Linked DNA regions of Nothobranchius furzeri. The protein of the gene in region 4 interacts with the protein of the main gene of each other region in a pairwise test. Links are inferred from orthologs where the notes say so. Each region holds a gene or a part of one and is shown on either strand. Other genes may lie near its edges.

What was found.
Region 1: the proteins of ntaq1 (region 4) and eif2b1 interact in binary tests that used the Homo sapiens proteins (3 or more experiments, as listed by UniProt). The two-hybrid records come from large-scale screens. The link is inferred for Nothobranchius furzeri from reciprocal best matches to the Homo sapiens genes NTAQ1 and EIF2B1.
Region 2: the proteins of ntaq1 (region 4) and ppcdc interact in binary tests that used the Homo sapiens proteins (3 or more experiments, as listed by UniProt). The two-hybrid records come from large-scale screens. The link is inferred for Nothobranchius furzeri from reciprocal best matches to the Homo sapiens genes NTAQ1 and PPCDC.
Region 3: the proteins of ntaq1 (region 4) and pts interact in binary tests that used the Homo sapiens proteins (3 or more experiments, as listed by UniProt). The two-hybrid records come from large-scale screens. The link is inferred for Nothobranchius furzeri from reciprocal best matches to the Homo sapiens genes NTAQ1 and PTS.
Region 5: the proteins of ntaq1 (region 4) and gas7b interact in binary tests that used the Homo sapiens proteins (3 or more experiments, as listed by UniProt). The two-hybrid records come from large-scale screens. The link is inferred for Nothobranchius furzeri from reciprocal best matches to the Homo sapiens genes NTAQ1 and GAS7.
Region 6: the proteins of ntaq1 (region 4) and cdab interact in binary tests that used the Homo sapiens proteins (3 or more experiments, as listed by UniProt). The two-hybrid records come from large-scale screens. The link is inferred for Nothobranchius furzeri from reciprocal best matches to the Homo sapiens genes NTAQ1 and CDA.
Region 7: the proteins of ntaq1 (region 4) and asl interact in binary tests that used the Homo sapiens proteins (3 or more experiments, as listed by UniProt). The two-hybrid records come from large-scale screens. The link is inferred for Nothobranchius furzeri from reciprocal best matches to the Homo sapiens genes NTAQ1 and ASL.

What each region holds. Positions count from the first base shown.
Region 1 is NC_091746.1:40,378,695-40,382,798, forward strand, and holds the start of eif2b1 (translation initiation factor eIF2B subunit alpha), read right to left. Parts: upstream 2,864-4,104; 5' UTR 2,567-2,863; coding exon 2,554-2,566; intron 2,469-2,553; coding exon 2,367-2,468; intron 1-2,366.
Region 2 is NC_091744.1:66,310,542-66,314,702, forward strand, and holds the start of ppcdc (phosphopantothenoylcysteine decarboxylase), read left to right. Parts: upstream 1-1,345; coding exon 1,346-1,561; intron 1,562-1,832; coding exon 1,833-1,928; intron 1,929-2,235; coding exon 2,236-2,364; intron 2,365-2,474; coding exon 2,475-2,643; intron 2,644-4,161. Other genes in the region: hacd3 (very-long-chain (3R)-3-hydroxyacyl-CoA dehydratase), read right to left, coding at 15-179, 274-347, 419-461, 1,080-1,157. UniProt on the Homo sapiens protein: Catalyzes the decarboxylation of the cysteine moiety of 4-phosphopantothenoylcysteine to form 4'-phosphopantotheine and this reaction forms part of the biosynthesis of coenzyme A.
Region 3 is NC_091756.1:21,286,732-21,291,046, forward strand, and holds the start of pts (6-pyruvoyl tetrahydrobiopterin synthase), read left to right. Parts: upstream 1-1,488; 5' UTR 1,489-1,980; coding exon 1,981-2,057; intron 2,058-2,751; coding exon 2,752-2,831; intron 2,832-2,913; coding exon 2,914-2,936; intron 2,937-3,037; coding exon 3,038-3,094; intron 3,095-4,315. UniProt on the Homo sapiens protein: Involved in the biosynthesis of tetrahydrobiopterin, an essential cofactor of aromatic amino acid hydroxylases. Catalyzes the transformation of 7,8-dihydroneopterin triphosphate into 6-pyruvoyl tetrahydropterin.
Region 4 is NC_091759.1:9,346,517-9,350,178, reverse strand, and holds ntaq1 (protein N-terminal glutamine amidohydrolase), read right to left. Parts: upstream 2,205-3,662; 5' UTR 2,111-2,204; coding exon 2,046-2,110; intron 1,857-2,045; coding exon 1,757-1,856; intron 1,546-1,756; coding exon 1,495-1,545; intron 1,413-1,494; coding exon 1,264-1,412; intron 1,194-1,263; coding exon 1,069-1,193; intron 981-1,068; coding exon 838-980; 3' UTR 510-837; downstream 1-509. Other genes in the region: ribosome biogenesis protein bop1, read right to left, coding at 3,159-3,312, 3,399-3,506, 3,587-3,662. UniProt on the Homo sapiens protein: Mediates the side-chain deamidation of N-terminal glutamine residues to glutamate, an important step in N-end rule pathway of protein degradation.
Region 5 is NC_091756.1:21,480,227-21,484,272, forward strand, and holds the start of gas7b (growth arrest-specific protein 7), read right to left. Parts: upstream 2,858-4,046; 5' UTR 2,646-2,857; coding exon 2,466-2,645; intron 1-2,465. UniProt on the Homo sapiens protein: May play a role in promoting maturation and morphological differentiation of cerebellar neurons.
Region 6 is NC_091743.1:52,750,789-52,754,997, reverse strand, and holds cdab (cytidine deaminase b), read left to right. Parts: upstream 1-1,338; 5' UTR 1,339-1,542; coding exon 1,543-1,771; intron 1,772-2,266; coding exon 2,267-2,378; intron 2,379-3,198; coding exon 3,199-3,256; intron 3,257-3,399; coding exon 3,400-3,525; 3' UTR 3,526-3,783; downstream 3,784-4,209. UniProt on the Homo sapiens protein: This enzyme scavenges exogenous and endogenous cytidine and 2'-deoxycytidine for UMP synthesis.
Region 7 is NC_091750.1:61,113,787-61,118,095, reverse strand, and holds the start of asl (argininosuccinate lyase), read left to right. Parts: upstream 1-1,451; 5' UTR 1,452-1,611; coding exon 1,612-1,626; intron 1,627-1,770; coding exon 1,771-1,965; intron 1,966-2,282; coding exon 2,283-2,366; intron 2,367-2,436; coding exon 2,437-2,493; intron 2,494-2,564; coding exon 2,565-2,662; intron 2,663-2,738; coding exon 2,739-2,816; intron 2,817-2,898; coding exon 2,899-2,976; intron 2,977-3,361; coding exon 3,362-3,414; intron 3,415-3,515; coding exon 3,516-3,578; intron 3,579-3,671; coding exon 3,672-3,786; intron 3,787-4,309. Other genes in the region: esterase OVCA2, read left to right, coding at 1-76.

The DNA.
Region 1 (4,104 bases), on a different chromosome or scaffold from region 4:
CTTGGCATGATGTCTAGCTTTTGAGGTGCTTTTGGTCTACTTCTCTGTGTCAGGCAGCTCATATTTAAGTGATTTGATTGAAACAGGTGTGGCAGTAATCAGGCTTGGGGGTGGCTACAGAAATTGAACTCAGGTGTGAAACACCACAGTTGGGTTATTTTTTTAACAAGGGGGCCATTACTTTTTCACACAGGGCAATGTAGGTTTGGATTTTGTTCTCTCCCTAAATAATAAGAACCATCATTTCAAAACTGCATTTTGTGTTTACTTGTGTTATCTTTGACTAATGGTTAAATGTGTTTGATGATCAGAAACAATTTGTGTGACAAACATGCAAAAAAATAAGAAATCAGGAAGGGGCAATTCGTTTTTCACACTGCTCACAAAAATTAAAGGAACACTTTAAAGAAACACATTAGATAGATCAGATCTCAATATGAAGTTGGATATCTATACAAATAACGACAGGGCAATGTCTTAGGAACAAAAGGATGCCAAGTCTTTTAATGGAAATAAAAGTTATCAGCCTAGAGAGGGCTCAACTGTGTTAACACCCTAAACTCGGAGTGAAATGAAGATGTGGCAGGCTAGTCCATTATTTCAAAAACTTAATTTCTGCAACTCAAATTGCTTTTCAGTATCTTGTGTGGCCCCCACGAGCTTGTGTACATGCTTGACAACGTCGGGGCATGCTCCTATTGAGACAACAGATGGTGTCTTGTGGCATTTCCTCCCAGATCTGTGTGAGGGCATCCCTGAGCTCTTGTACAGTCTGAGGAGCAACCTGGTGCTGCCTAATGGACCGAAACATAATGTCCCACAGATGTTCTATTGGGTTTAAGTCAGGGGATCGTGAAGGCCATTCAATTGTTTCAATTACTTCATCCTGCAGGTGCTGCCTGCATACTCTTGCCACATGAGGGCGGGCTTTGTCATGCAGTAGGAGAAAACCAGGACCTACTGCATCAGCGTAGGGTCTGACAACGGGTTCAAGGACTTCATCTCGATACCTTATGGCAGTCAGAGCACCATTTCCTAGGCAGTAGAGGTCTGTGTGTCCCTCCATGGATATGCCTCCCCAGACCATCACTGACCCACCACCAAAACCTGTCATGTTGAACGATGTTGCAGGCAGCATAACATTCTCCTTGTCTTCTCCAGACTCTTTCACGTCTATCACAGGTGCTCAGGGTGAACCTGCTCTCGTCTGAAAAAAGTACAGGGTGCCAGTGGCGGACTTGCCAATTCTGGTGTTCATGAGCAAATGCCAGTCAAGCTCTACGGTGCTGGGCAGTGAGCACAGGGCCCACTACAGGACGTCAGACCCTCAGGCCATCTTCATGAAGTCTGTTCCTGATTGTTTGGGTAGAGACATTCACACCAGTGGCCCTCTGGAGGTCATTCTGTAGGGAACGAGCAGTGCTCAGACTGTTCCGCCTTGCACAAAGGAGCAGATATCAGTCCTGCTGATGGGTTGTGAACCTTCTACGGCCCTGTTCAGCTCTCCCAGAATAACCGCCAGTCTCCTGAAATCTCCATGTTCTGGAGATTGTGCTGGGAGACACATTAAAACCTTCTTACTGCAGCACGTGTGGATGTGCCATGCTGGAGAAGTTGGACAACCTGTGCAACTTCTGTAGGGTTAAGGAATCGCCTCATACTGCCAGTAGAGAGCCAAAACTAGCACGAGTGGAAAACCAGCAGAAAAAGCTCAAGAGGGAGAAACTTGAAATGACCTCTACATGTTAAACCAGTCCTGTTTTGAGGGTTTTGTAATTGTTGCCACTTTATGGATGGATTTAATTGATTTCATGCCAGGCCCAATAAAAAAATTGTTCCTTTAATTCTTGTGAGCAGTGTGTGATTGATAGATTGATGGATGGATGGATGGATGGATGGATGGATAGATGGATGGACGGACGATAGATAGATAGAAAAATACAAAAAGACTACAAGTAATAAAAATACTTTAAAATTCCAATCATACATTTGGCAAACATTTCAATTCTTTATAATTTGCTTCCAAGCAATCAAATCATCTTGTAATATTTTAAAGAGATCAACCACTCTGTAAACTTTCTGAAGGTCTTTTTGTTTATATCTCAACTTTGGCTGCTTAAAAAATGAGTGGAAAAATCAGCCTAAGTCCTTAAATGTAAAAGATGTTGAATAAACCTGGAGGTTTGAATTTAAGAAGAAATACTTGCTTTTTGAAAAGAAAATTGTTCTTAACCTAAAATGATTAATAAGTGGTAATTATAATCTGTAATATCAAAAACATAATGGTGCTTTGCTTGACAGTATATCTGAAATTAAAGTATGAAAACATCCATACTGAGGTGGCATATATGAGGTGACATACACACCTTTGTCTCTTTTGAGAAACTCCAGCAGGGTGCGGATGGCCGCAACGGCAGAGGCCATGCCCGGGTCTTTCCTCATCTGAGCCCTGAAGTACTCCACCAGCTCTGATCCAGGACCACAGAGACAGGACAGTTTTAGCATCGGCGAGTCCACAGCAGAGCAGATAATCCCTCACATGAAACGCCTTACCTTCTTCATTCATTTTGAAATAAGATAGGAGCCTAAAAACCGCTATTCCAACTCAAAACCAACCTCTGGACGTTTTATTAGCAAGAATCAGTCAGTTTAGAGATGTTTAGACAGCACCAGAACCGCTACACCGCAAAGCTGCGGCCTCAAATAATTCAGAGAAGCAAAACTGATGTTTCAAATGTTTGATTCAACCAAACCTTTTTACACGCCAGCAAGAAAACAGCTCTCAAAGTCTGAATAGTTCTGTTGACACCATCTAGAGACTTTCACGCTTTTAGCTTCACGCAGCGAGTTGCGTGTCGCAAGAAAATGACGTAGACGTTCGTGTTACCTTCATGCACATTACTTAAATGTAAAGCTGAGTCTACAAGTTAGTTTTATGAAAATAACTAAAATAAATTAAACTAACTTGTGAATAAGGTTTGACAAAATGGAGCAAATAGATGCAAAATGTTCTAAAATATGACAATATACACATCAAAATAAGAAGTCGAACAATAATATAAAATAGAAACGAGATGTCCCTAAAGAGACAACAGACCAAAAAAACAAAATTTGGCCCTGACATTTATTTATAACGAACCAAAATGGCCTGTTTTACATCTATGCTGCACATCAGGGCTGTGCAGAGACCTTTGACGGGGCGGGAGCTCAAAGTAAAAAAAGGGGCACTTATAGAGCAAAACTTTTAAACAGATTCACAATCCAACAGGTTAGAAAATTCAGATAATGAGACCCTTGGGTTCAAACAACATAATAAAAATATATCAATTAGTGTCATTAGTGTTAATGTTAGTTCATAAATAATTGTTTTAGTTTATAAAGCTGACTTATATCTAGAGATGTTACAACCACATTTTTGCCTCTGATCTGAGTCCAGGTTGTTTGATTTTTGATTATCTTCCAATACCGAGTACTGTTCTGATACCAGGTGGTGATGCAATGAGTTACAAAAGAAGAAATAAGTCATCCTTCTGTCTGTATTTGTCATTTTGTTATTTTAGCCTTAAAAGGTCACTCATTCAGGAAGTACATTTAACAGTATTCAAGATCATTTATTGCTATTTCACAGGTGTACAACCAAATTGACTTTGAGCTTACTAAAGACAGCTCTAGCAAGAAGTAGTAAAATAAATGCAACCACACAAAGTTATCCAGTGTGATCTACAGCTATGTTAGCTGAGATCTTTTTCCTGTCAGTAGAAAATTCTTGATCCCATTCCATGATCTCACTGAACTTAGCACTAAACATGAGAGCTCTGCTACCAACCTAACAACAACATCCTTTACACAAAGGCACCATCATCACATTCGTGGCAGGAGACTCAGAGAAACTTAGAAGAATCTTCTCCAAACACAACATCCCGGTAAACTTTAACCCAACAACACCCTCAGACAGAACCTGGTCCATCCAGAAGACAAAACACCCCAACAGAAGCTCAGTGGGGTAGTTTATGTAGTCCAGTGTAGGAGCACTGTCCAGATGTTTACATTAGAGAAACTAAACAACAATTACACAAGAGCATGGCACAACACAGGAGAGCCGCC
Region 2 (4,161 bases), on a different chromosome or scaffold from region 4:
TTATTTATTCTCACCTTTTCCCAAATCTCCATCTCAGCGTCTGACTCGTCCAGCCAGCGGTCAAAGTCTGGAGTCAGGAAGACAGGTCTACGCTCCTGCAGGGTGAGCCTTTCCCACCAGCCTCGCCGCTCTTTCTGTACTGTGAGGTTTACCTGACGTTGTGTGGACTTGTGCCTCACCTGGAAACATAAACTGATGTTACAGCAAAATTCAGTATAACATAAAATGGTATGATGGTGAGAAAAGGAAGGTTATTTAGGATAAAATGTGCACCTGAGGCTTTACTGGAAAAAGGAACTCTAAGCTGAACTCATATTCATGTAGTCCTTTTGCACCGTATCCCTGGGCTAGATGCAAAACACAAATCATGTTAAAAATGACTTTTCCTTTAAAACATACATGAAATTCATAAACATACCTCTGAATTGAAGGACATTATCCTGCACCTGGACATCAATATTCTGCAGAACAAAGACAAAACAATGACTGATGATGCACAAACTTCCTCCTAACTGAAGCATCGCTTTGCTTCCTGTGATGTGCACAAACCTGTAGGATATAAAACATTTACATGATTACTAAGTTTCATCACATCAACAAAAGTAACTTGCCCTAAAGATTTACCATTTGAAACCAACTTTGTACATTTCATGTCATGGTTTCAGTTTCTCTTAAGAAACATCTACAGGAGCTGACAGTGTTGCAAAGACTTCAACACTACGTGTGGAGTATGCCTGATTTTCTTTGCAGTGCAGCTTCAAACTAAATATTCGGTCATCTCAACACCCTGAAACAATCCACCTCCACATCAGAAAGGGCTAGAGGATATTTCTGCTATTTTAATCCACTAGACGGACCTCGAACCCACGCGTGTCTTCTTTAAAACGTATCCAACTCCACACGTGAAGGATTCAGCCCGAGGAAGGGAGCTTTGTAAAGATTATTACCCAATGTATCTCTGAGATCGTCTCCCGACAAGCAAAACAAATGTCATGTTTCCACGAACGTTCGATTTTTAATTTGCTTCCGTGTTTACCCCTAAATAATAAAGCTAACAGTAGCCAGGTTAAAGTACTCACCTGGGCGTCCGTCAGCTCCACTCGCAGGAAGATTTCCTCGTGACGTTGAGCCCAGTGAACAAGAGGCGTGAGAGTCATTTTATTTTACTTTTTACCTTCAAATAAAATAAAAATAAAATTGTGAATATTTCATGCTACCTTCGTTGAAAGCTTTTAGCTAATACCCCGCGTAATCTAGTACCAACGCGCGCGCGCTCCAAATCAGACGTAGCGACGTGCTCGTGTCAAAAGAAGCGTAGTTCTCTTCTCTGATTGGCTCTCGTTTAATGTTTACGGATGTGCATCAGCGCAGCACCGCAGCAGCAAGTTGTGGAGCTCTCCCTGAATCTACAGCTATCATGCAGACAGATGACAGCGTTTCATCTCTGAAAAAGGATTTACTGAAACCTCCTGGGTCATTTCGTGTACTTGTTGGCGTAACAGGAAGCGTCGCAGCATTGAAACTGCCTGCTTTGGTCTCCGAGCTTCTCCAGCTCCCTGGGGTGAACTGATTCACAACTATTATCAAACTTCAATTTAGAATCTCTGTTGCCAGATGAATTTTGAAACATAGCACGGATTTGTTCCTAAACTGAATGACCTTACCTTAACCGCAAGATGGGGACATTTGCCAGAAACTTAAAAATCTACCTTTTTGTTTTGCGAAAATATTTCCATCAGTTTAAAAATAGTTTTCAATTCAAACGAAACTATAAATGCTCATTGTCAGTGTTTTTTATTTAATTTTGTTTTTGTTGTTTGTTTTTGCTTCAGGTGGATGTAAGGGTGGTCACCACAGAGCATGCTAAACACTTCTACAACCCTGCAGAGGTGTCAGTAAACATCTACAGTGACAAAGATGAGTGGGAGGTAATACACACCCATTCGTGTGTATTATTCTATATATTTCCTCATTTTAAAAACATAGTTCTTTATTTAATATTCTTTCATGCTCATAAAGCATAGTACTGTTGTTGAAATTCACAAATAAATTCAAGTTTGGCGTGAGTTGATAATTATTCATCTAATTTTCTAGTTATTTCTTAGAAGTTTGACAGAAACGTTGTCCAGGGTCAAAAAAGATTGTGAAATGTTTGCATCCTGCAGTCCAGTGGGAAGTTTAGGACATACATGCCTCACTGATTGTTTGCTAAATAAACATTTTTCCTTTTTTTAGTTTTGGACACAGAGATCAGATCCTGTGCTACACATTGAGCTAAGGCGATGGGCTGACCTCCTGATCATTGCTCCACTTGATGCCAACACTCTTGGAAAGATTGCTTCTGGTATTTGTGACAATCTACTGGTGAGGGCAGGAATCCATAATCATATCCTTCACAATAACCATGACACAAACAATCTAACACACATTTTACACATGTTTATTTTCAATGTGATTATAATTTGCTCTTTTAGACATGTGTAGTACGGGCCTGGGACATTGGTCGGCCTCTTCTGTTCTGCCCTGCTATGAATACAGCGATGTGGCAGCATCCCATCACAGCCCAGCAGGTATCCAGGCTGAAAGAGTTTGGATATGTGGAAGTCCCCTGCATTTCTAAGAAGCTAGTCTGTGGAGATGATGGTGAGTTATTAGTGTCTTTATTTTATTAATTGGTTGTATACATATATCATTTTTCTCTAAACAAAAACACACAGGACAAAACAAAAAAAAAATCCCCAACCACCGTTGTACTGGATAAAACAAAAATAATATAAAAAGACACAACTCAGGTTTCAATATGGCGCCAAGTCATTATAAAAACTACTCAGTTATATTTTATGTGAAGTTACCATACCTAAAATAAAAATTCCATAAATAATGTCAGGCAATAGAACAGTTTAATTTATAAGTGCTCTGAAATACAAGTTATCATATAAATGTAACATATTCAAAATATAATAATAATAATAATAATAATAATAATACATTTTATTTCAACAGCACCTTTCTAAACACTCAAGGACACTTTACAGATACTTTAAAGTATGTTTGGAATAAACATTTAGTTACAGATCAGTAAAAACAGAAAATTATTCAAATGTGGTAAAAAGCACTATGTTTTCTCTCTCTCTCATAACAAAGCAGTCCTAACACGCTTATAAACATGTACATGTACAGTTTTATTTAATCCCAAAGTAGATTGTTCTGAGATGGGTGGGATTAAACCACTGTCTTGGATAAACAGAAATTTAGATTTTTTTTTTAAGAAACAACAGATTCAAATGAAGAAGAGTATTATCTTCCTGAAATAAAACACATTAAAGCTGTTATGGCGAATCTGCTAACAAGCTAGGTTTTGAACACAAACACGGTCACGGAACACTCACCCCTCCCCTCAGGTATCTTCCCTGAGACGCTTCTGGCACGACTGGAAACCTGTAATGCCGGATGAAGCAAGAGAGTGCTAAACACCAGTTGCCGTCTTCTAGGTCCAAACGTCTTTTGTTGTCCGTGACTTTAAATGGCGTGACTATTTCCTTTTGGGACTCTGGTAGTTTACCCTAAAGTTGAAGTGGTAGCAGCCGGTTGTTTCTCCTTCTCTGATGTTCTTGAGCAGAGAACCTCTCACACCAGTGGTGTTCTGCTGCTAAATATGTGAGTGCGTAATGAATGGAGGACCCAGGGAAGTGTGGTGGTTCGATGAGCCAGACAACTGGAAGGTCCAGATGCTTTTGCTCCAAAACATGTTATTGATGGATAGGGCTGCAACAACGAATCAATGAAAGCGATAAAAATTGTTGTGTAGTGCAACCTTTATATAACAGTCAATGCGCACATTCAAGTTCAATTCAAGTTTATTTATATAGCGCCAAATCACGACAAGAGTCGTCTCAAGGCACTTCACACAGTAAACATTCCAGCACAGGTCAGTTCATTAAGCCAATCTCATCTCATCTGTATGTGGCAGCAGTGCAGACAGAGGCAGATCAGAACAAGAGAGACATATACGTCGCACGTGTGATGGAAAAACAGTATGCGATAAACTATTTTTAGACATAGCACTCAAGCGACACTTTTCCTAGTAACTTTTCTTCCCTAGAACTTTATTTAACACAGGTTAGATGCTTTTTACTGGCGCACAATGTACCAGTCTAGGTG
Region 3 (4,315 bases), on a different chromosome or scaffold from region 4:
TCGGCCTACGTACCCTTAGCAGAAGTCCCCGTTAGATCAGGAATGTCGAGGTCCAGCTTGACCTTTATGGAGTCGAAGCCTGTAGGAACAGCTGCGGCAGCCAACCACCAGTCTTGAGATACTTCCAGGTCACTACAGTTTGTTGGCATCTAGCGAGACCCAAACCTGGGTCGTGATGGTTCAGCTTTTATTCTGAAAGGAACCGCTGCAGCAGGTGGAACAGCAACAGATTTTATCCAGCTTGTCGCTGGTTCTTTTGGCTGAAGAGGAAAGTTACGGATTTGTCAACCTCTCTAGAACGCTTTGAACTGGCGTTAAAGATGACGTGGGCATAGTTTTATACTTCGGATGTTTTGGTTTATGGTCGAATGAAAAGATGGCAGATTTACCAACCACCAGGGGTGGCGTTAGGCCCGGCTACTTGGGCTGAAGCCCCGGATCTTTCATGATAAGCCCCGGATCTAAATCGCGGAAGTAACATGCAGTACCAAAGTCCAACAGAGAGAGCGCAGCTGGCAGTAGTTTGTAAAGTCCCATTTAGTCGTCACACACACACAAATTTATTCTCCGCATTTGACCCATCCCCTGGGTCAAAATAGCTCGGGAACTATTTGGTGGTTTAACCCCCCAATCGAACCCCTTAATGCTGAGTGTCTAGCAGGGAGGCATTGGGTTCTATTTTTCTCAAAGTCTTTGGTATGACCCGACCAGGAGTCGGAACCCTGATCTCCCAATCTCAGGGCAGACACTCTACCACTAGGCCACTCAGTCGGTATACAACCTGCCTGAGCCTCCACCACTGAAGAGAAGCCCTTTAGCAGCTGGCTTCTTCTACAATCTCTGTTTGAAACGCATGAGTGAAGGTGGACATAAGGACGTTTTTTAGACCAAAAGTACAACGACAGAACCCCAGCCCTGATGAGACTGGTGTTGACTCAGGTTTGTGAGTCTTATTTGAAAATATTTGTTGTGCTGCTGGTTTGCCTAAAGTTAGCTTACTATCAGGTAAAGTTGTTGGAGAAAGAAAGGGAATATTTATAATATATAAAAATATATAATATCATCTCACACTAAACACTAACAGGAACAATACTCTGCCCTGAATATGCTTAATATGTAGCTTCAGATTAAACATTATGTGGTACAAGATATATATATATATATATATATGATGTTGACTAATGCGTGTCACGTGTGTGTGCGCATGCGTGTGTGCGCGTGCGCGCGCGTGTGTGTTAAGTCCCGGATCTTCTTCAGTCCTAAATCCGCCCCTGCCAACCACCACCCAAAAAACGCCTCCATCAGATCTGGCAGATTCTGATTGGATCAGTAAAAGCAATGTGTCATGTTGTAATGCTACGTGAGATCAGTCCTAGTGGAAACAACACTCTCTGCATGAGGCCTTAAGCAAAGATATTATGGCATCTTTGATTGGTTGCACGTCGGCTATACCTGTTTTTCTTTCTTGGAGGCCATACAGATGTAATGCGTCCCTGGATGTGTGACACAGTTTGTTGCTGAAAATTAAATGTTAATTTCTGTTCATTTGGATGAAAAACTCGACCATTGGTACGCTACACTGTGCTTTGCCTAATCATTAGCTCTTTGGACTTATAGAATGTAAAAGCTATTTCTCTGTGCTAAGGCTGTTCATGGAGGTATCTCCAACATAGGTAGTATTTTTTTACAACCTGATTATAACAGACTGATACCTCATGAGGATAAAGTAGCAAAGCAAAAGTTAATCATAGGCTAGTTTTATAGAACAAAAATGAACGTTTTAATGTGTTGGATTTTGGTTTGAGGAAGACCGGTGCGAGAACAGAGAGCGTGTCAGGAGCCAGCCCCCCCAGGCTTTAAACGGGGACATGTGAGCTTTATTTACGCCCTAATCTGAGCCAATGAGCCCGGGTCACATGGGCTTTATATCAGCACACCGCTCGCGTCAACCCCTTTCTCCTCAGCATCAGCGCTCCGATCATGGCCGGATTTCCAGCGGAGCGCATCGGTTACCTCACCCGGGAGCAGAGCTTCAGCGCCTGCCACCGGCTCCACAGGTAGCCCTCTCCTTCACCCATCCTTCAGGAACCGGGCCTGTCTGAGGCTCGAGCCGAATTAAGCTCAAAGTCCCCCCGCTGCCGGGGCTGGCTCCGATAGGTGGGCTCGTGCCCGTTAGCTATCTAAAATCATGGAAACACCGCGCTGCGATTACGTTATATCCTGACGAACGTAACAAAAACCCTAAAAACTAGACAAACCACTGCTGTACAGTTTATAAAAACCAAAGTTGTAGTTCTAAACCTTCTGGGAATTGTAGTATTTCGCTAAAGGCTTCACGCGCGTGCGGACTAATGTTGCATTCACGTGCTGTCTGATTTCCCAAGAGGTCTGACAACTGAGAAGTAACGACACAGGAAATGCACAATAACTAATGATACCGTGCTGTTTAATCCGCGGTAGTTTCACTTGTTAGGGTCATTATGTAAAGACGTTTAACTTTTGTTTACTCACACAGTCCTAGTTTGATATTTTTGGTTTATAATAATAATAACAACTTCATTTAGAGCTAGAGTCACAATGTAAATAAAATACTTGTTTATTCAGATAAATGACCTAAAAGCTGTTGTATACAAGATGTACCTGAAGGCAACACAAGTAAACAGTGTCTTGTGAGGTTTTTCTTGTTTGACTAACAGGAGCACATTGCCCAGATACAGATACAAGGATAAAAGGTTGTATTCTCCTCTGTAGTGTCCACCTGAGTGATGAGGAGAATAAACAAGTGTACGGAAAGTGCAACAATCCCAACGGTCACGGACACAACTACAAAGGTTTGTTCTGCTTCTTCATTAATCCATGTTCTACCATTTTATGGGTGTTCTATTCATCCAGATACATGATTTTACTCCACAGTGGAGGTAACAGTTCGTGGAAAGGTGAGTTTGACATAATTCTCTATGACAACTGTGTAGGATGCAGACTAGCCCTGTTAATGATGGTACATAATCTCCATCCCATTTTAACCCTGTGCCCTCAGATTGACCCCATCACTGGCATGGTCATGAATCTGACTGAGCTGAAAAGATGCATTGAGGTAAGACATTTCTGCAGGTCTTCCTTCTTAACACTGTTTAATCAGACAGACTATGTTTAAACAGGCCATTCATGTTTATTAATGCAGTAACACTCACAGGCCACTTTAAGTCACCTTGGACAAAAGTGTCTGCTAAATACATAAACGTAAACATAATAGGAACACTTTACCAGGTTGGGGCCCCCTTTGCCTTCAGAACAAGTTCTGCCTAAAGGTTGGTTTATGCTTGACGCGTCCTTGAGGTTCGCACAGCTCCGCGCGGAAAAGTTGCGTCATTTTAACAACCGCGCCTCCGCAAGGCCCAAACTTTCCGCACCTAGGAAATTTTCTAACCACGCGGACATGGAAAAACATGGCGGACTGGCCAGAACTAGTATGGCGGAGGTTCGTAAATACAGACATTTGTATGATTCAACTCTCAGAGATCACCGTGATCAACATGTTAATAATTCTTGGAGAGAAATAGCTCGCACTGTCGGAAAAGACGAGGACGCTGTTAAAAAATGCTGGAATGCCATGTTGTAAACAACAGTAGTTTTTACTTCTACTATGGTGTAGTGTTGGATGCATGCCGTAGAGCTCCATGCTGCCCCCTACAGTTTGGGAGAATATTGGCTCACCGCAGAGACGAGCCGCATGAACCATAAACGCTGCGAGTTGTGAAGCGCGTTCCATCCGCGAGCCGCATCACCAAGCGGAAAGTGAATGTGTCAAGCATAAACCAAGCTTTAGATCTTGATGTCATAGACTCATGATGTTGTCAGCCTTTATTTACAGAGCACCTTGTAAACATGAGTCATGTCACCAAAATGCTGTACAAGACTAGAATATGGAGCCTAAGTCACCCCCACCTACTGCTGGACCATGGTGAAAATAAGAAGTAATGAATGGGACCATAAAAGCTATGTTCCACTCCCGTTTGACATTTGCCATGGATTTCTTATGTTTATGTTTATTTATTTAGCAGACGCTTTTATCCTAAGCATCTTACAATTTATAACCTATAGGGCATGTTGTAATCTGTGGGGGAAACCGGAGTACCCGGAGGACAGCCACACATGCATGGGGAGAACACGCAACTCCACGCAGAAAGGCCGCAGCCCAGTTTCGAACCTGCAACCTTCGTGCTGCGAGGCAACAGTGCTAACCACTGCGCCACCATGCAGCCCATTCTTATCTGATGTCCGCTAATTAAAGACATTCAATTCAATTCAAGTTTAT
Region 4 (3,662 bases):
ACATGCGGCTCCAGAGCCGCTGGTTGCCGACCCCCGTCCTGGTCAGAGTTGTTGTTGTCGCTCATGTTTGTTCTAAAGAGATGTGCATTTCTCAAAGGGACAAAGAACTCAAAAGAAAATAATCTTAAAGATTGTTTGATTGATAAAATAAAACAGGTTGCTTACTTTATCTGGATGTTGCTGTCCTGAGCTTCTTCCAGAAAAGAATTTGAAACCAAACATGCCTGATCCTCCTGTTTAAACCAGTGTCCTAACCACTCCTGCCATACTGAACACAAACATATGACAGGTGAAAGTGATTGCACAAGTTCCACCAGTCATCTATAACGGTAAATAGAACTTATACCCAAACACAAATCTGCTGTTAACTAGAATCTGCATAATTTCACCAAGTTTTAATTGTTAAAATATTCTGGAAACCAAGATTCAAATTGACACCAAAAGTTACAATTATACATTTAATTTTTATTCTATCATTGCGCTACAGAGACAGAGAATCCAACGCGATCAAAGATTAAATAAAATCTTTTTATTTCTCAGGAACTCAGGTGAAATCAAGGTGCTGATGCTCAAAGTTCTCACAGGCGTGTGTGATGAAGGATCACTTCAGTTTCCAGATGAATCTGTGACATGGCTGAAGCGCTGTCGTCGTCATGTTTCTGGTTTCCTCTGAGCTTCAGAGGCCAAGGTGAAACTCAAGAGAGGTCAAACGAGATGCAGCTCAGCCCAAAACATAAAGTTCAGTTCAATGTTTGTCTCAGTCTCTCAATCATTTCAGATTAAATGTTCATAATAACATAAAAGCTAATCACAAAACAGCAGCTGCCAGGATGCTGATCAGGATTGAGCTGATGATGAAGATGAAGAGGTGGTGGAGGAGCAACCTAAGTATTTCTGTAGAAACTGATTCAGACTGAAAACTGTCCCCCAGCCAACAGCTGGGCTCATGCTGATGAAGTCATCCAGGTTCATCTGACACCCTGAAGAGGAAATGCACCAAAAGTACAAAATCACCTTTTCCTAAGACAGGAATCAGAAAACATGCTCCACATTAACTTGATTTGTTACCAGTGGTCTTTAAAGGGGGGTAAGAGGGAGGGGGCTTCTTCCAGCTCCCATCAGGGTTCTTCATGTGAGTTCGATCAGACGCAAAGTTCAAGAGGAAGCTCTCAGCAGGAATCACACGCAACTTCCTGTCACAGATATGAGAAGGTGTTGGTGATTTCACTCCAGTGCATTACCTGTGTAATTCAGCAGTGCTACCTGTGATATTCAGGTTTGATGTGGTGGTCTGAGCGGAGGGCCTGGCTGCCATAAAGCCTCAGATTGCATGGGAATGACAGCTCTGTGTCCAGATCATAAACCAGAACCTCCGACTGAGGATCCACATGAAGCAGGATCACATGGTAGTCCTAAAACACCCAAAAAAACATGATTAACAATGTATTATTTTAATGCTCTGAGGCCACTTTAACAGGAAGGAGAATCATAGACCCAGATCACTGGATGGTCAGCGTGTCCAGACTTCTGCTTCCACAGAGGAACCTGAAGGAGAACAAATAACATCACTGATCAGCAGCAGCAGCAGAAGTCAGATCTTAGTGAAAATGTTGATTCTTTATACAAACTTGGCAAATTTAAGGGGATTCGTGATGATTTGTTAAACTTTAGACCTGTTGAGACTAAATCTGTTGAGTTAAATATGTTTAAAGGGTTTTGTAACACATGACAAACTTCTCAGAGCTGATCTTCTCACCATTCTGTTGTCATTAGAGATGAAAACCACAAAGAGCTGTTCCAGTGGAGCAGTCCTCGCTGTTTGAACAAACTCACACAACTTCCACACATTCTCCTCACTGCAAAGCAAATTAAGACATCACTAATCAAACAGCAAAAATAATCTAATAATAATAAAATCATATCCATAAGAATGTAGCAGCTACCATTTAAGCCAACTGCGTTTTGCTACAAAATTTGATGAATAATTATGTAAAACCCAACAAACTGGAGTTTTTTTTAATCATGATGTAACAGAATGGATTTACCAGTAACAGCTGGTGTAAACACAGAACTCACGACTCGGTGTGATTCGATCCTTTACTGCCTTCATGGTTCGGTGTTACACCGAAACCGCTCCGACGGTGTCACTTCGAAATGTGTCCCCATGGTTGAAAACTCTTGTCACATCAACTTCATTATAAAGAAAATTGTTTGTTTTTTGCTACAAAATTTGACGAATAATTATGTAAAACCCAACAAACTGAAGTTTTTTTCATGATGTAACAGAATGGATTTACCAGTAACAGAACTCGCGGTTCGGTGTTACACCGAAACCGCTCCGACGGTGTCACTTCGAAATGTGTCCCCATGGTTGAAAACTCTTGTCACACCAACTTCATTATAAAGAAAATTGTTTGTAGTAAATATTCTAAGAACATTTTGCAGACCCTGGTACCCGAATATTTTCGTTAAACATAGTTCCCGCTTGTGTTCAGCACAACTGATACATAAAGAAAGCTGATATTCTTAGAGATTTTATTCTTAAGAGAGGCCTTTAACCTGGTTAAACAACAGATACAACAAATATTCCCAGGCCTGCGCAGTCGTGCATTTACATGGTTATTACAAATACTTTTACTATTAGAAACAAGCTTTGTACAAAATACCCAAAAACTTGGTTCAAGTTAAAAATATCCATAATGATGAAATTTGAAGCACAAATACTTTATATTTGGGATAGTCCTAATTTCTGCCTCTGGCAACAAAACAAACAAACAAAAAAAAAAAACCTTTAGAGCTGTAATTATGTTGATAATTTTAGATAATTTTATTTCCTTTTTGAAAGCTGTAATAAATGGTCTTGTTTTTCAAAAAGGTAACCGCAACACAAACTCCTTTAAAATGAAGGCAGACAAATAAAACTACATTTTGTAGGTTTTAAAAAAAGAATCAATAATTCTCCTAGTTTTAACATACAGAGACAAATTGTAAGAACAATATATTTTATTGAAAACAATAAAATACATTTTATTGAAAACAATAAAATAAACTACAGAAAACAAAACAAAAAAAAAAGAAGAAGGTATCCTGGTAATCAGTCCATTAGGGAGGTCAGACTCCTCCCACACACACACAGAGCTGCTGCTGGTTAAAACACTTTAGGTGAAGAGCCGGATGGTGGCGTCAGCTCCTGAGGAAAAGACCCACGGCTGAGTGGGGTGAAAGATCACGTCCAGAACACCAAGATCGTGGGTGATCACATGACCTCTGAGAACTTTTACAGGTACTATCAGCGGGTTCTGAAGCAGGTCGCTGGAAGAGACGGCGGCAAGTTTTAATATCCTGTCTTTTATAAGTCTTGTTATGAATAGATTTTCAGGGTGTGTTTGTGGTCTTACTTGTAAACAGTCCCGTGACAGACGATCACCGATCCATCATCAGACGCCGAGGCAAACAGAGGGTAACCTCTGTGATAGGCCACACCCCTCACTGCTTTCTTATGGTGTCTGAAGGAAAGAAGTGATCAAAAAGCTTTATTAGAACTGGCACAATGACAAAGACTACTGATGGACTCTTAGGAGCGTACCGCAGCATTTTGTAAGGTTTGGTTGAGAGATCAAGGTCAAACCAGCTCATCCTGCAGTCGTAGCTCCCACAGATCA
Region 5 (4,046 bases), on a different chromosome or scaffold from region 4:
TTCTATTTGAGCAAAATGAACTAATGGTTCGCTGGAGTTTTTGACAATTAAAATTGCGCCCACATTTTCAAAGTTAAACACATTTCTTTTAACAACGGTAGTCTCTGCTTCAGCCCTCTCCCCCCTCCCCCTGCTTCAGCCCTCTCCCCCCTCCCCCTGCGCAGCGGCCGCAAACTCACTGATGCGCCTGCAGCCTCTCAGAGTTCCTGCTGCTCTAAACATTAAAATAATTATTTCATTTTCTGTTCCTCACTTCTGATTACCTTCAATGGTGTCTGTTTGTTGCATCCACCAGGTACAAAAACTAACTTGTTTTTATTTGACTATTTTTCTGTCCTGCCTGTTTATTATCTTCCTGCATCTCCTCTCAATCCTAAAGAGAAACTGCTACCTGGGGTCATATATTTTCACCTCATGAGTTACCTTTGAACTGCAGTTCTAAAAGATCTACCGACCGCAAAAACAGCGGAGTGCTCGCTGGCCACATCAGTTAGGTGCGTCACCGAGGACAAAACAGGTGATGCGCCCCGCTCCACAGCAGCGAAAAGCATCAGGCACAAATAAAAGAATAAAAGACAGAAAACATAAAAGGAAATGAGCCGACATGAATGATCGTGTGTTAAATTAGTTTTTGAGGTGGCGACACCTGATTTGATAATGTTACTGTGGCCGTGCTCAGGACGCAGATGTCTGGAGCACGTCAACAATCAGAGCTTTGCATGCGCAAGCTGGTTAAGGTTAGGATGGGGGTGAGGGGAAGGTTAAATTGCAAGAGGGTAAAGGTCACAATTTAGTTAAATGTCCGTTTTACGGCGGGTGTCAGTACCGACGCTCTGGCACAGCGCGTTGCCTCCCGACGCGCAGGAGCTTGTCACCTGCTGGGAGCAGGTTGCTGTCTTTTCCATGTAGGGCTGCAGCTATCGAATATTTTTGTAATCGAGTACTCTATCGAATCTTTTTTTCGATTAATCGAGTACTCTAATAAATTACCCTTTTGTGTTTGTAAACCATTATATCAAATAGCATGTTATAATTATGAAAGACCTCTTAAAATGAGAAAGCAATTGCCAGTTATTCTTCAAGTTTTATTCAAAATTAGTTTGCAAAACTTCAGCACTTCAACTTTACTTCACAGTAAACAAATGCCTGTGCAAAAAATAACAACCTGACTGCCAAATTGCTATTTTTAGCACATTTTAAGTCCGAAGTGTTGCTACCAGACGTACGGTGTGAACTGAAACTAAGTGCTACAAATGAAAAAGTCGCAGTGTCCGCAGAATATATAGAAATACAGGCTAAAATGCATCATCTTGTAGAGGCTCCGAGTCCGCTTGCAGAAGTGACATTTACAGGTGCTGCAGCATCGAGGATGTGGTGTTGTGGTAGGCTAAATCCATTTTACAGTATTTACACTGGACTACGTTTTCCGCATTACGACGTAAAAAATGGTCCCACACCTTTGACATTTTCTGTCTTTTTCTCACTCCACCGGGGTACAAGTTGTCCGCCATGGCTTAAGAGAAAGTTAAGTTACATTCGCTACTCGCTGTGCATTCAGTCCAGTGGGCATGTGCGTCACTTATTTCGGTCCGGGTGAAACATGACCCCGGGCGATTGCAAAGCCATGAATTAATTAAATATGAATTCAACGAATCCTCGAGGCAGAGAATTTGACTCTAGGATTTCTTGTACTCGAATTATTCGAGGTACTCGAGGAATCGTTTCAGCTCTATTTCCATGGACTACATCTTGCCGGTCATTATCACGTGACAGCGACTAGTCGATGACAGGCATAAAAAGTCACTATAGAGCGGTGAAGTCGACTAGTGACTAGTTCATACAACCCTGCTACTGCTCCCCAGAGTGTTCTGCAGCATAATCAGCACGTTCTCTTTGAACTTGATATCAAATTTTCGCCTCCTCTTCGTCTCCGCACGGTTAAAGTTACCCTCGCGGTCTATCACTGGCAAATCAAAAGTGAGACGGATGACACAACCGCCCCTGTACTTGCTTGTTACCACATTCCACCCGGCCACAATAAAAAACCGGCCATTATTCACCTCCGCCGACACCGGCCAAAATGTTGCCAATATTAGAGGATTTATGGTATATGTTAAAACAAATGATGGCAAGAGGTGAGGGGGGGCTCAAGTCTGTGCTTCACCTCCGCCCCAAAATAATTTAATTCGCCTCTGGAGACCTGGTGGGGCGTGTGGCTTGGGGGACCTGAACGCATCCCTGGAATGTGTGAGGAATGAGGAAGCCGCCCAGTCGGAACCAGCAGGGAGAGCTGCGTATCAGCGTGTGTGTGTGTGTGTGTGTGTGTGTGTGTGTGTGTGTGTGTGTGTGTGTGTGTGTGTGTGTGTGTGAGAGAGAGAGAGAGAGAGCAAATAAAGCTGTTCAGAGCGTTTTGCTCAGAAGGCTCACCGCTGGAGGTTGTTTTGGGGTCAGGACGGGTCTCTTACCTCCAGGACCTGCACGTAGCTTGAGGGGAACCAGCCCCGGGCTCCATCCTTCTCCCCCTCCCACCAGCCTCCGGGTATAGCCTGGACCACCCTAATCATCTCCCCAGCCTCGAAGCTCAGTCCCTGCTGGTGCTGCTCCCCGCTGAACGGGTACAAACTTTTGCAGTACGATCCGGACATCACCGGGACGAGACCAAACTTCCCAGTCAGGCGGTGTTGCTGTGGCTGCGCGATGGTCGCTGACGGAAACCCAAAAACAAAGAGAAATCTGGTTTGTCTCGTGGGAGAGGAGGTGAAACTGGTGGTGAGTGGGTGAACTGGTTTTTCTCCTCCTGCTGCTTCTGTCAGGACGCCCCTCAATCTCCGCTCTCCTCCTTCAGCCTCCGTCAGGCTTCTTCACTCAGCTGTGAAGCGACAGATAGTAGTGACGCAACAACACCGAAACCGGAAGTAAGCCGTCAAAGTAAAAGCACAGCAATTTTGCCCTTTTTTCTCGTTTGTTTGCTTTAATAAACCACTTTATTTCTCGTTTACAGTTTTAAAATATCTCCGGTTTATTCTGCAAAGATCCGAAACATGTAAATACATGTATGTGAAAGGTTTTCTGTGTTTTTAAATACCATCTATTTGCATAGAACACACTATGAAATGTGTGTGACACATGGATTAATATATGTCTATCGTTACATGATGTCACCACCAGCACTTGAATCTAATGGCTGGTTAACTTAATAGGAGTGTGTTTTTATAGAGAGTTAGTATAAAACTCGGGTGACTGTTTACATCAGTGTGACAATTTGTATTTATTAAAACCATGAATCTTAGGGCCAAGAAGTGGTCATTTTCTTCTTTATATTTCCAATGTTTCTGATGCAGGATTAACTAGATCACCATCACCGGCAGTGGGGCGTTCACACCCTCATAATAAGGTTGTTATGGTTGCAGAAGAACACCTTTAGATGACTCTTGTGACTGCGGTACAACACATTAGATTTGTTAAAAACCACATATTTGTTAGTGTCTTGAACAACTCGCTGACTCCAATCAAACTTTGTAAGATGGTGCTTTTCTGGCAGAAAACCAGGCGACAGGATCCATTTATTTAAGATGTTTTAAATTAATACATCGTTTAGAAAAACTGCTCTCAACTGCCTAAACTATATTTTATAGCTTTTAACAGCTTTTTATTGTGCACAAACCTCAATGTGGATCAGAACTGGTGGTCGTAATGTTTTGGCCAGTTTGGTCAGTTACAGGAATAACCAGCAGATTACAAGTTAACAGATGTGTTACAGACTGACAAAAACACAAACATTTTATAATAAAGCTGGGAAATAATTAAATGATTCTTTTTGTGTGGTATGACAATTTTGCATTTTACTTTGAAAGTCAGAACCGGAAATAACAGCTTTTATAAAGGCAAGCTTTCTGCTAGGGTGGTTTTGGTGAGCAGAGTGATTTGTGTGTTATTCTGTATCTCTTGTTTCATTGGTTCTTCTGATAGTTTTATAATTGATGTGTTTTTTATTAAAGGTGAGTTTTAACCTGTGCAACACCCATTAGTTTCAACTTGTTTACCGA
Region 6 (4,209 bases), on a different chromosome or scaffold from region 4:
TTTTGTTTTGGATTATTAAAGAGACAATATGTAGTTTTTTATCATTAATCTCTGGAAATATCCATCGAAATGTTGTTCAAAAAGAATAAAATGACGTCCAGATGTTGAAAAACATTGGAGGCTTTGTAACATATAACTATAAAAATCTGGTCTAAATTGCAGTCTTTGGAGGACGCCATAGACACCATGTTTCCTTCTGGCTGGCTCGGGGTCCTGCGCCTGTCGATGACATCACACTAGATGATTGGCTGGACGTACGACTTACAGGAGTTTTGTTAGTTTATTTAAACTAGCAACAGTCATGGCGATATGGTATAAAACTACCCTGAAATGTGTGTCTGTACTGCCCCCCAGTGCCAGAAAACTACACACTGCCACTTTAAGCTCTCGCTGAAAAGTTAAAATATTAATAATCATTGAACAAAATTGTTTGCCACTGTTTTCATTGATTGATTGATTGACACTTTAGTGTTTGAACTTATCTTTACATTCAGTAATGGCCAAGTGCATTGACGGACTAGCCATTGGGAGCATAGGGACATGTCCCAGTCCCCACCTGGACAAGTGTATCTCTTGCCCTCTAAATTTTGACACATTTGTTACAAATTTGATGAAAATAAAACCTTTTAGGTTCTTTAGTGGAAGATATCACGATCATAATTCAGTATATTAAATAAGTTAATTATGACTTTGTTATAAACAAAAAAACATTTATTTTATTTTAATAAGACAAAAGTTGTGCTTTTAAGAATGTTTTGTCATACCTGCTGAGATTTTTGACTGAAGGCTTCAGTCTAGCTCAAAACTAATTTCTGCTGTTGTGTCATTTATCAGCTGGTCTGGGGACGCGGTTTGGTAGCGCTCCCCCAGAAGACCTGGCCCAAGTGGCTGGGGAGAGGGAAGTCCGGGCCTCTCTGCTTAGGCCGTTGCCCCCATGACCCGACTCTGGATAAGCGGAAGAAAATGGATGGATGGATGAAACTTGTTGAACATGTTTTGCATCGACCATAAAATTATTATAACTTAAGAAAAAAACAAATAATTTGGTAACACTCCAATATCCTGAGATCCGGACCAATGCTTGAACAATGTTTCCAGCTATAAGTAACTGGCTTTAAGAGGTTTTCAATGTTTTCCATAGATTCAAGAAGTGTTGTTTTTCTACGGCAAACTGCCTTAAAAACTCAACAACAAAAGCATTGACGCCACTGCAGAACCCTTTGCTTTGATATGTACGTATCGTGTGGGTTCGCTCTTCATCTGGGCTACAATAAAGTTAATGCAGGAATAAATAAAATAAAGACAAGATAAAAAGTATCTGGTTTAGAGGTGAGTAGCTGTACCCCCCAGCACCAATGCAACACTGTTTACCGCTGTCAAGTACATCACACCTTTCTTTTAAAATCCATATAAAAATCTGTCCTCTTCCTTTGGACAGGGTTAGGGTAATTATGGTAAGTTTACTCCCTGGTGAATGATTGGCTGACTGTGTCCTCACCCCTTTCACCCCTCGGTCCCATTCACATTTAAAGCTGAGCCACAATGAGCTCATTCAGTCAAAATCAGGTCTACAAAACGCCAAGAGCCACTATGGATGGAGTCAACTCCCGACGGGACATCACTGTTGTCAGTCGCTCCAGGGACCTGAGCCAAGAAATGGTTAAAAAACTGATTCATCAGTCGCAGGAGGTAAAGACGCAATCTTACTGCCCTTACAGCAAATTCCGGGTGGGAGCTGCTGTCATGACCCTCGACAACTGTGTGTTTACAGGTGAGCTATGCAAAATGTTGGTAATTTCCTCTTTAAGCCCATGCTTTTCTATTATATTTAGTATAAAAAAATTTAAATAATGTGTCTGAGTCAAAGCCTTCTAGGAGACATAACAGAATTCAATATTAAAACAACACAATAGTGCATCCGTTTGCTCTGATCTTCATACTGCTGGATCATGTTAATGATTACCCATCAGGTCAAATGTCTAAACTTGAGAAAAGCTCTGGAGTAAAAGGCCAACGTTCTCCACACCCAGTAAGTACAGTCGGCATGTGCACAAACAGAAGTCGGAGACACGGTGCTCCTGTCAGCATCACTGGACAAGTCACCTGTCCTGTCACGTGGGGGAGGTACGGGGCGATGACTGGAAAACTGCTGCAAGTCCAAAGACCCCTCTGACTATTTGAACAGGCCAGCAGAAGTAAACACTGTTCCAGAAGGTAAATGCCCCTCATAAGTTAAGTCACCCCATGTCTTTGTGTGTCTCTCTAGGGTGCAATGTAGAGAACGCGTGCTACACTTTGGGACTGTGTGCTGAAAGGAACGCCATCTCGAAGGCCGTGTCAGAAGGATACAGGAGTTTCAAGGCCATTGCAATCGCCAGGTAAATGTACATTGTATTGCTTCATGTTGCATTTATTTTCACCTCAAGAATAACGTAACAGTTTACAGTAAGGGTCCCTCTATTAACGTTACTGCATTATGAAGCACTAATAAACAAATAATCCCTTTATTAAAGGGATACTATGCACATTTTTCATATTTTTAAATAATTGCCTTGAGCCAGTTCGTGCTTAAATAACTATTTACAGGGTTAATGGAATGTCACTCAGACCCCACCGCCCCCTCTGGCCAGAATATCACACTTGCAACTTCAGAGTTGCTGGTCTGTCCCTGCTGGGGGGAGGGGGGTTGAGTGGAGTGGAGCAGACATGGTGGAGCGGTCTGCTTCCAGCACGTTCCCTGCATGTTACTGATGGTGAACACAGCTGATTTGTTTGATTTAGTGATAAACCGCTCCTCTAGAAGATAATGAAGACGGAGGAGACGCTACAGCAGTAAGATTAAGGTGTTTAAAAGATGAATGCACGAGGAGATAAGTTTCATTTTCGGTTTAACTACAGTAAATTAAAAACGGACACTAGGGGGTGCTAAAAGCATGCACAACTACCTAGTGTCACTACCGTTGTAAAGGTTAGGACAAATGGCTGAGTGGGCAGAGGGTCTGCTAAGCAATGCATTACATTAATATGGTTAAGCAGTTTTTAATACCCTTATTTATTAATGCTTGATATTGCACAAAGTACTGTAAAAAATTACCAAATTATTCATAAAAGCCAAACAATTGAGTTTCATTTTTCTTGTAAATTCCTCCAAACCCCATTTGCTTTCTGCTACGTTTTCCAACTTTCTGTTTTTTGCAGTGACTTATGCGACCAGTTCATCTCTCCATGTGGGGGCTGCAGACAGTTCATGAGAGAGGTCTGAGCTCCTTGTTCCATTTGCAGAGTTTAAATGAGTCACTAAAGCAGCACGCATACTAATCAGCACTAGCAGGAGTAAAGCACTAGCCAAAGCTGGTTCCTTTTTGTGAAATGTGAAGTTTTTGTTTTTTTGACCTACAGTTTGGGTCCAATTGGGACGTTTACCTGTCCAAGCCTGATGGATCGTATCAAAAGCGGACGGTGGACGAGCTGCTGCCCCTCTCGTTTGGCCCTGAGGATCTATCCATGAACAAAGTGTTTAGCTGAACATGCTGTAGTGATACAGCATGCTTCATATGTGTTTAGCAGCAGTTATATTTATGGTGAGAAGTTTGTTCTCATGCCGTCTCTAAATTATATTTAAATCAACTGCGAGAGGGAAAAATATTATTGATGCAATGATTTCATGTCTACTTCCTCAGTAGCATTAAATGCACAACTTATGTTGGTAAAAATATTTATTGGTTTAAAGAAGCATGACAGAAACGAATGGTCACACATTTTAATAAATAGTTTTTAAATGGAGTCACGCTTCATTCCTTATTGAGAAATGAACACAGTTTCAGTTCAAAGGACAAACAAAAGAAGAACATATTTTGTATCAGTGTACTGCAAATGTTTCTATTTGAAGAGACAAAAAGAAGAGCCATGTAAGCTGCCAGTGCAAAGTGACAAAATTAATTCATGAGTTATTTTAAGTCTACCTATCATGCGTAAACATTCAGAGGCTAAAGATTAGAAGACATATTGTTTCTCTTGGATTCAGAGCTGTGGGGGGGGATATCAGGTAAATCGGATTTTTCTGGCTAAATTGTTCATCAAAAGGAGAGAAAGCACTAAAGTCAAACTCTAGATTGTTATTTCCAGGCTTTAAGTACAAGTAGCAGTGCAAAAAAATTGCATCCGTTTTTTGCTGAGTGACAACTTAATTAGTAAACGAGACACAGAACA
Region 7 (4,309 bases), on a different chromosome or scaffold from region 4:
TCCTGGTGGTCATTTTGTTCCTGCTGCATCTGTTCACAGACAAACATATCAGGACTTTCTGAAAAGGTTTTCTTGAGAATTTAAAACCTAAACAGAGTCAGGGTATTTTAGCATCACAGCACTGTTCAGGTGCTTAATTTAAATGATTTCTGTGTGAATATTTTTTTCAGATTTTTCATTCGATCCATCCAAAATGTTTATTATGACTCATTCTCAGGAAAATAGATATTGTATCAAACAATAAATAATGGTATTTGACGTTTTTGTGAACTGTTTTTTGTCTTGGGAACTGAGCTTTATTATGCTTTTAGTGATATTTTCGTACTTTTGATCAAGAAAAATGTAATTCTCCTTTGTTTCTGAATGTTGGGAAAACTAAAGAACCAAAATTGGGAAAAATATTTACAAGAGCATTTTTAAACACTATTATTATCGTAATGCTTAGAGCTCGTTCTGAAAAGAAAACTTTAGTCCCCCCACCCCACCAAAAAAAAGTATTAAAATGTAAATACATAATACTATGGAAGCCCATTCCTGCCACTCAGATAAAAAAACAATGTATTATCTCATTATTATGACTTAGCTATCTCATTTTGAGATAGTATCTCATTATTATGACAGTATCTCAATTATGACTTAGCTATCTCATTATTATGAGATAGTATCTCATTATTATGACTAAGTCATAATGAGATAGTATCTCATTATTATGACTAAGTCATAATGAGAGTATCTCATTATTATGAGATAGCTAAGTCATAATTTTGAGATATTTTTTTTTATCTGAGTGGCAGGACTGGGCTTCCATATAATACACATTTTTCTATTACAATTTGTTTTTGGTGGGCCTTTTAGTGTGTTTTAACAATTATTTGTGTTTTAATGTAAAACTTCAGAAATTTGTCAAAACGATCACTGTCTGTAACTTTCCTTCTTTTGTACAGTAGGCCTACATGAAAATGGCAATTGTTTATTGAGAAAAGTTATTGCAAGAGTCCAGAAACGTGTATAAAATATCTTTCTGTAAACACCATTCCAAAAATGAGTAAATAATTACTAGAAATATTTGAAATGATCTACCTAAACAAACCATTACTAGAACAATAAGACACAAAAAGAACAGTTAGGATAAAGATTTAGATAAAATAGTAACACTACAAATAAATAATAAAAGAAATTAAATAAATAACGATTTATTAGAGAAACACTTGGAAAAACCCAAATTAGTTTCCGCTGGTGTTATGCCGAAAAAGGTACCCCCTGTCGTTAACAGGATCTCAGTACACGAACTTGCGTTTGATAACAGTAGTTTGTTCTTACGGATTAGAAATCCAAAGTTAACCTGTTTATTTTGATTTTTATCTATTTTAAAATCCAAACCTTGCTTTTTACTAGCTGGGGAACCTTCTGACGGCGGGGTTGCTTTATTCTGCACAACACCAAAAGACTTCCGGATACGGATACGGACCACGTAGCAACAGAAGATGCTTTCACGTCTCTGCTCCGATAAAAGCGAAATCCTGCCACCGCCGCTTCGTTCTCGCTGCTTGTCGGCTTCTAAAATCCACTCGGACTAAATTTACCACCAGATAGAAACGCCTGTCGATCACCATGGCCGGCGCAGAGGTATAGGGTTTAGTTTCAGTGGTGTTGTTTTGATTTTAGCCGTCAACCGGACGACAAACGCGCAGCCAAAAACCGCCCGGGGTAGTGTTTGTTTGAACTTATTCATTCTCATTTTTTCATTTATTTTCCTGTTTTTTGTCACAGGGGGCTAAACTCTGGGGAGGTCGTTTTGCCGGAGACACAGATCCGATCATGAAGAAGTTCAACGCCTCCATCCCTTTTGACCAGAGAATGTGGGATGCTGACATCCGAGGGAGCAAAGCCTACGCGAAAGCTCTGGAAAAGGCTCAGCTGGTCAGCACAAAGGAAATGGAGCAAATCCTGACTGGCATGGATCAGGTGAGCGTATTCAGTAAACAACTGGAATATCTGAAGCTCTGTTTGTTGGTCTGCTGCAGAAGTTTGTTTATGTGCACTGTGGGCTCTGGTTAATGCACGACAGCTGAAAATGTGCCATGGCGGAGGATTCCTATTTCCTGCTGAGTGTGTCATGCACAATAGTTGCATCACATGACAGGTGTCAGCTGCAGCAGCTCCAGTTACAGATCCATTCAAACCAGTTTTCAACATGCCCTCTATTTCCTGATGTGTGTCAGTGCAGCTGGTGAGGGAAAGCAAATGCACTGAAGAAATAAATAAACCTGATAACCCTGCAGATTTTCGAGGAGTGGTCTACAGGAGTTTTTTTGATCAAACCGGAAGATGAGGACATTCACACTGCCAATGAACGCAGACTTAAAGTGAGTTTCACGAGCAAAACATGCAGTTAGTGTACTGACTATTTTATAAAAATGCTACTTGTGTTTGCAGGAGCTGATTAGAGCTCCTGCAGGGAAGCTGCACACGGGCAGGAGCAGGAACGATCAGGTTCGTATCTGCGATACTAAACAAGCAGCTGATAGAGTTTTGAGCCTTTGCTGTTTTATTTGGTTAATCAGGTGGTGACTGACATGAGGTTGTGGCTACGAGATGCGATCAAAACCCTCACAGACAACTCCCTGCAGCTCATATCTACCATGGTGGAGCGGGCGGCAGTGTAAGGTGTTAAACACACTCTGATGGATAAAAACACAAGTTCTCGTCTCATTTTCTGTCTTGTGTTTGACTCACAGAGAGATTGACGTCCTTTTTCCTGGTTACACTCACATGCAGAGGGCTCAGCCAATCAGATGGAGCCACTGGATTCTGAGGTGATGAAAACCACAGAGTTTATCACTTTTTTTAATGTTTCTGAGTTTTTCACGCCAGTCTTTTGGGTTTTTCTTTCGTCAGTCATGCTGTTGCATTAAGCAGAGATGTGGAGCGGCTTTTGGAGATCAAGAAGCGAGTGAACGTCTTGCCTCTGGGCAGGTGCGCTGTAATTCAGTTCAATTCTATTCAAGTTTATAGCGCCAAATCACGACAAGAGTCGTCTCAACGCACTTCACATAATAAACATTCCAATTCAGGTCAGTTCATTAAGCCAATCAGAAATAATGTTTCCTATATAAGGAACCCAGCAAATTGCATCAAGTCACTGACTAGTGTCAGTGACTTTACAGCAATCCTCATACTAAGCAAGCAAAAAGCGACAGTGGAGAGGAAAACTCCCTTTTAACAGGAAGAAACCTCCAGAGAATCCTGGCTCAGTATAAGCAGCCATCCTCCACGACTCACTGATAATAAATCCGCTTGTGTGAGTGCAGCTTTCACACGGACCTGATTAAGTAACCAGAAGTATTTCTGTTTCTTTCAGCGGAGCCATCGCGGGAACCCCCTTCGACATCGATAGGGAGCTTTTACGCAAAGGTTTTGTTTTTATTTTTGCATTTGACCTGCAATATTTTTAAATTCACGACATAGATTATTTTTAACAATCTGCACTTTTTCATCCTTCACTGGATCTATAGAGTTAGGATTTGATGGCATCAGCCTGAACAGCATGGACGCCACAGGCCAAAGAGACTTTATTGGTATGCAGATTACACATTTCAGATTATCATGAAATGCATGATGTGCTTTTCTATTTGTGTTTTAATTTGAGCTATGTCTTGTTTGTTTTTAAGTGGAGTTTTTGTTCTGGGCTTCTTTGTGTTTGATCCACCTCAGTAAGATGGCCGAGGACCTCATGCTGTACAGCACCAAGGAGTTCTCCTTCATTTCTCTCTCTGATGCCTACAGGTAAAGGTTTTTTGTTGTTGTGCCTCTGAATTGTGTTTTATAAAGGTGGATGGGTCGTCCTTTCAAAGGTCATGGTCACATGACCACTACTCGAGAGAAAATGATGAAAAACAAGAATAAGATTTATTATAAACTCAACTGAAGGTGCATAATAAATGACATCCTGTGGTCAGTTTGTGGTACTGCAGTCTGTGTATCAAAACCAATAAGTCCACGCTTAGCTACGGTTGCCAGTTATGGATCAGTGCCAGAAGGTTCTAGATAACAAGTGATGATGAGTCATACACAGTAAGTTGATGAGTAGATAAAATGTTTTACTGTAACATCAAGTTGTTTGTTATTGAAAAAGTAGCTTCTGCGACACTCTTTTTACTAGCTTCCATTCGTTTCCACAACATTCTAGCTTTTTTCCGGTTGGTGTAAACAGCAGCGTTTGCTGGCGCAGACTTTACAACCTTGGGGGCTCGCATATGATTGGCTCTGGAATCAGGAAGTCTGGTGGCGGGACAGATTGTAACTAAAC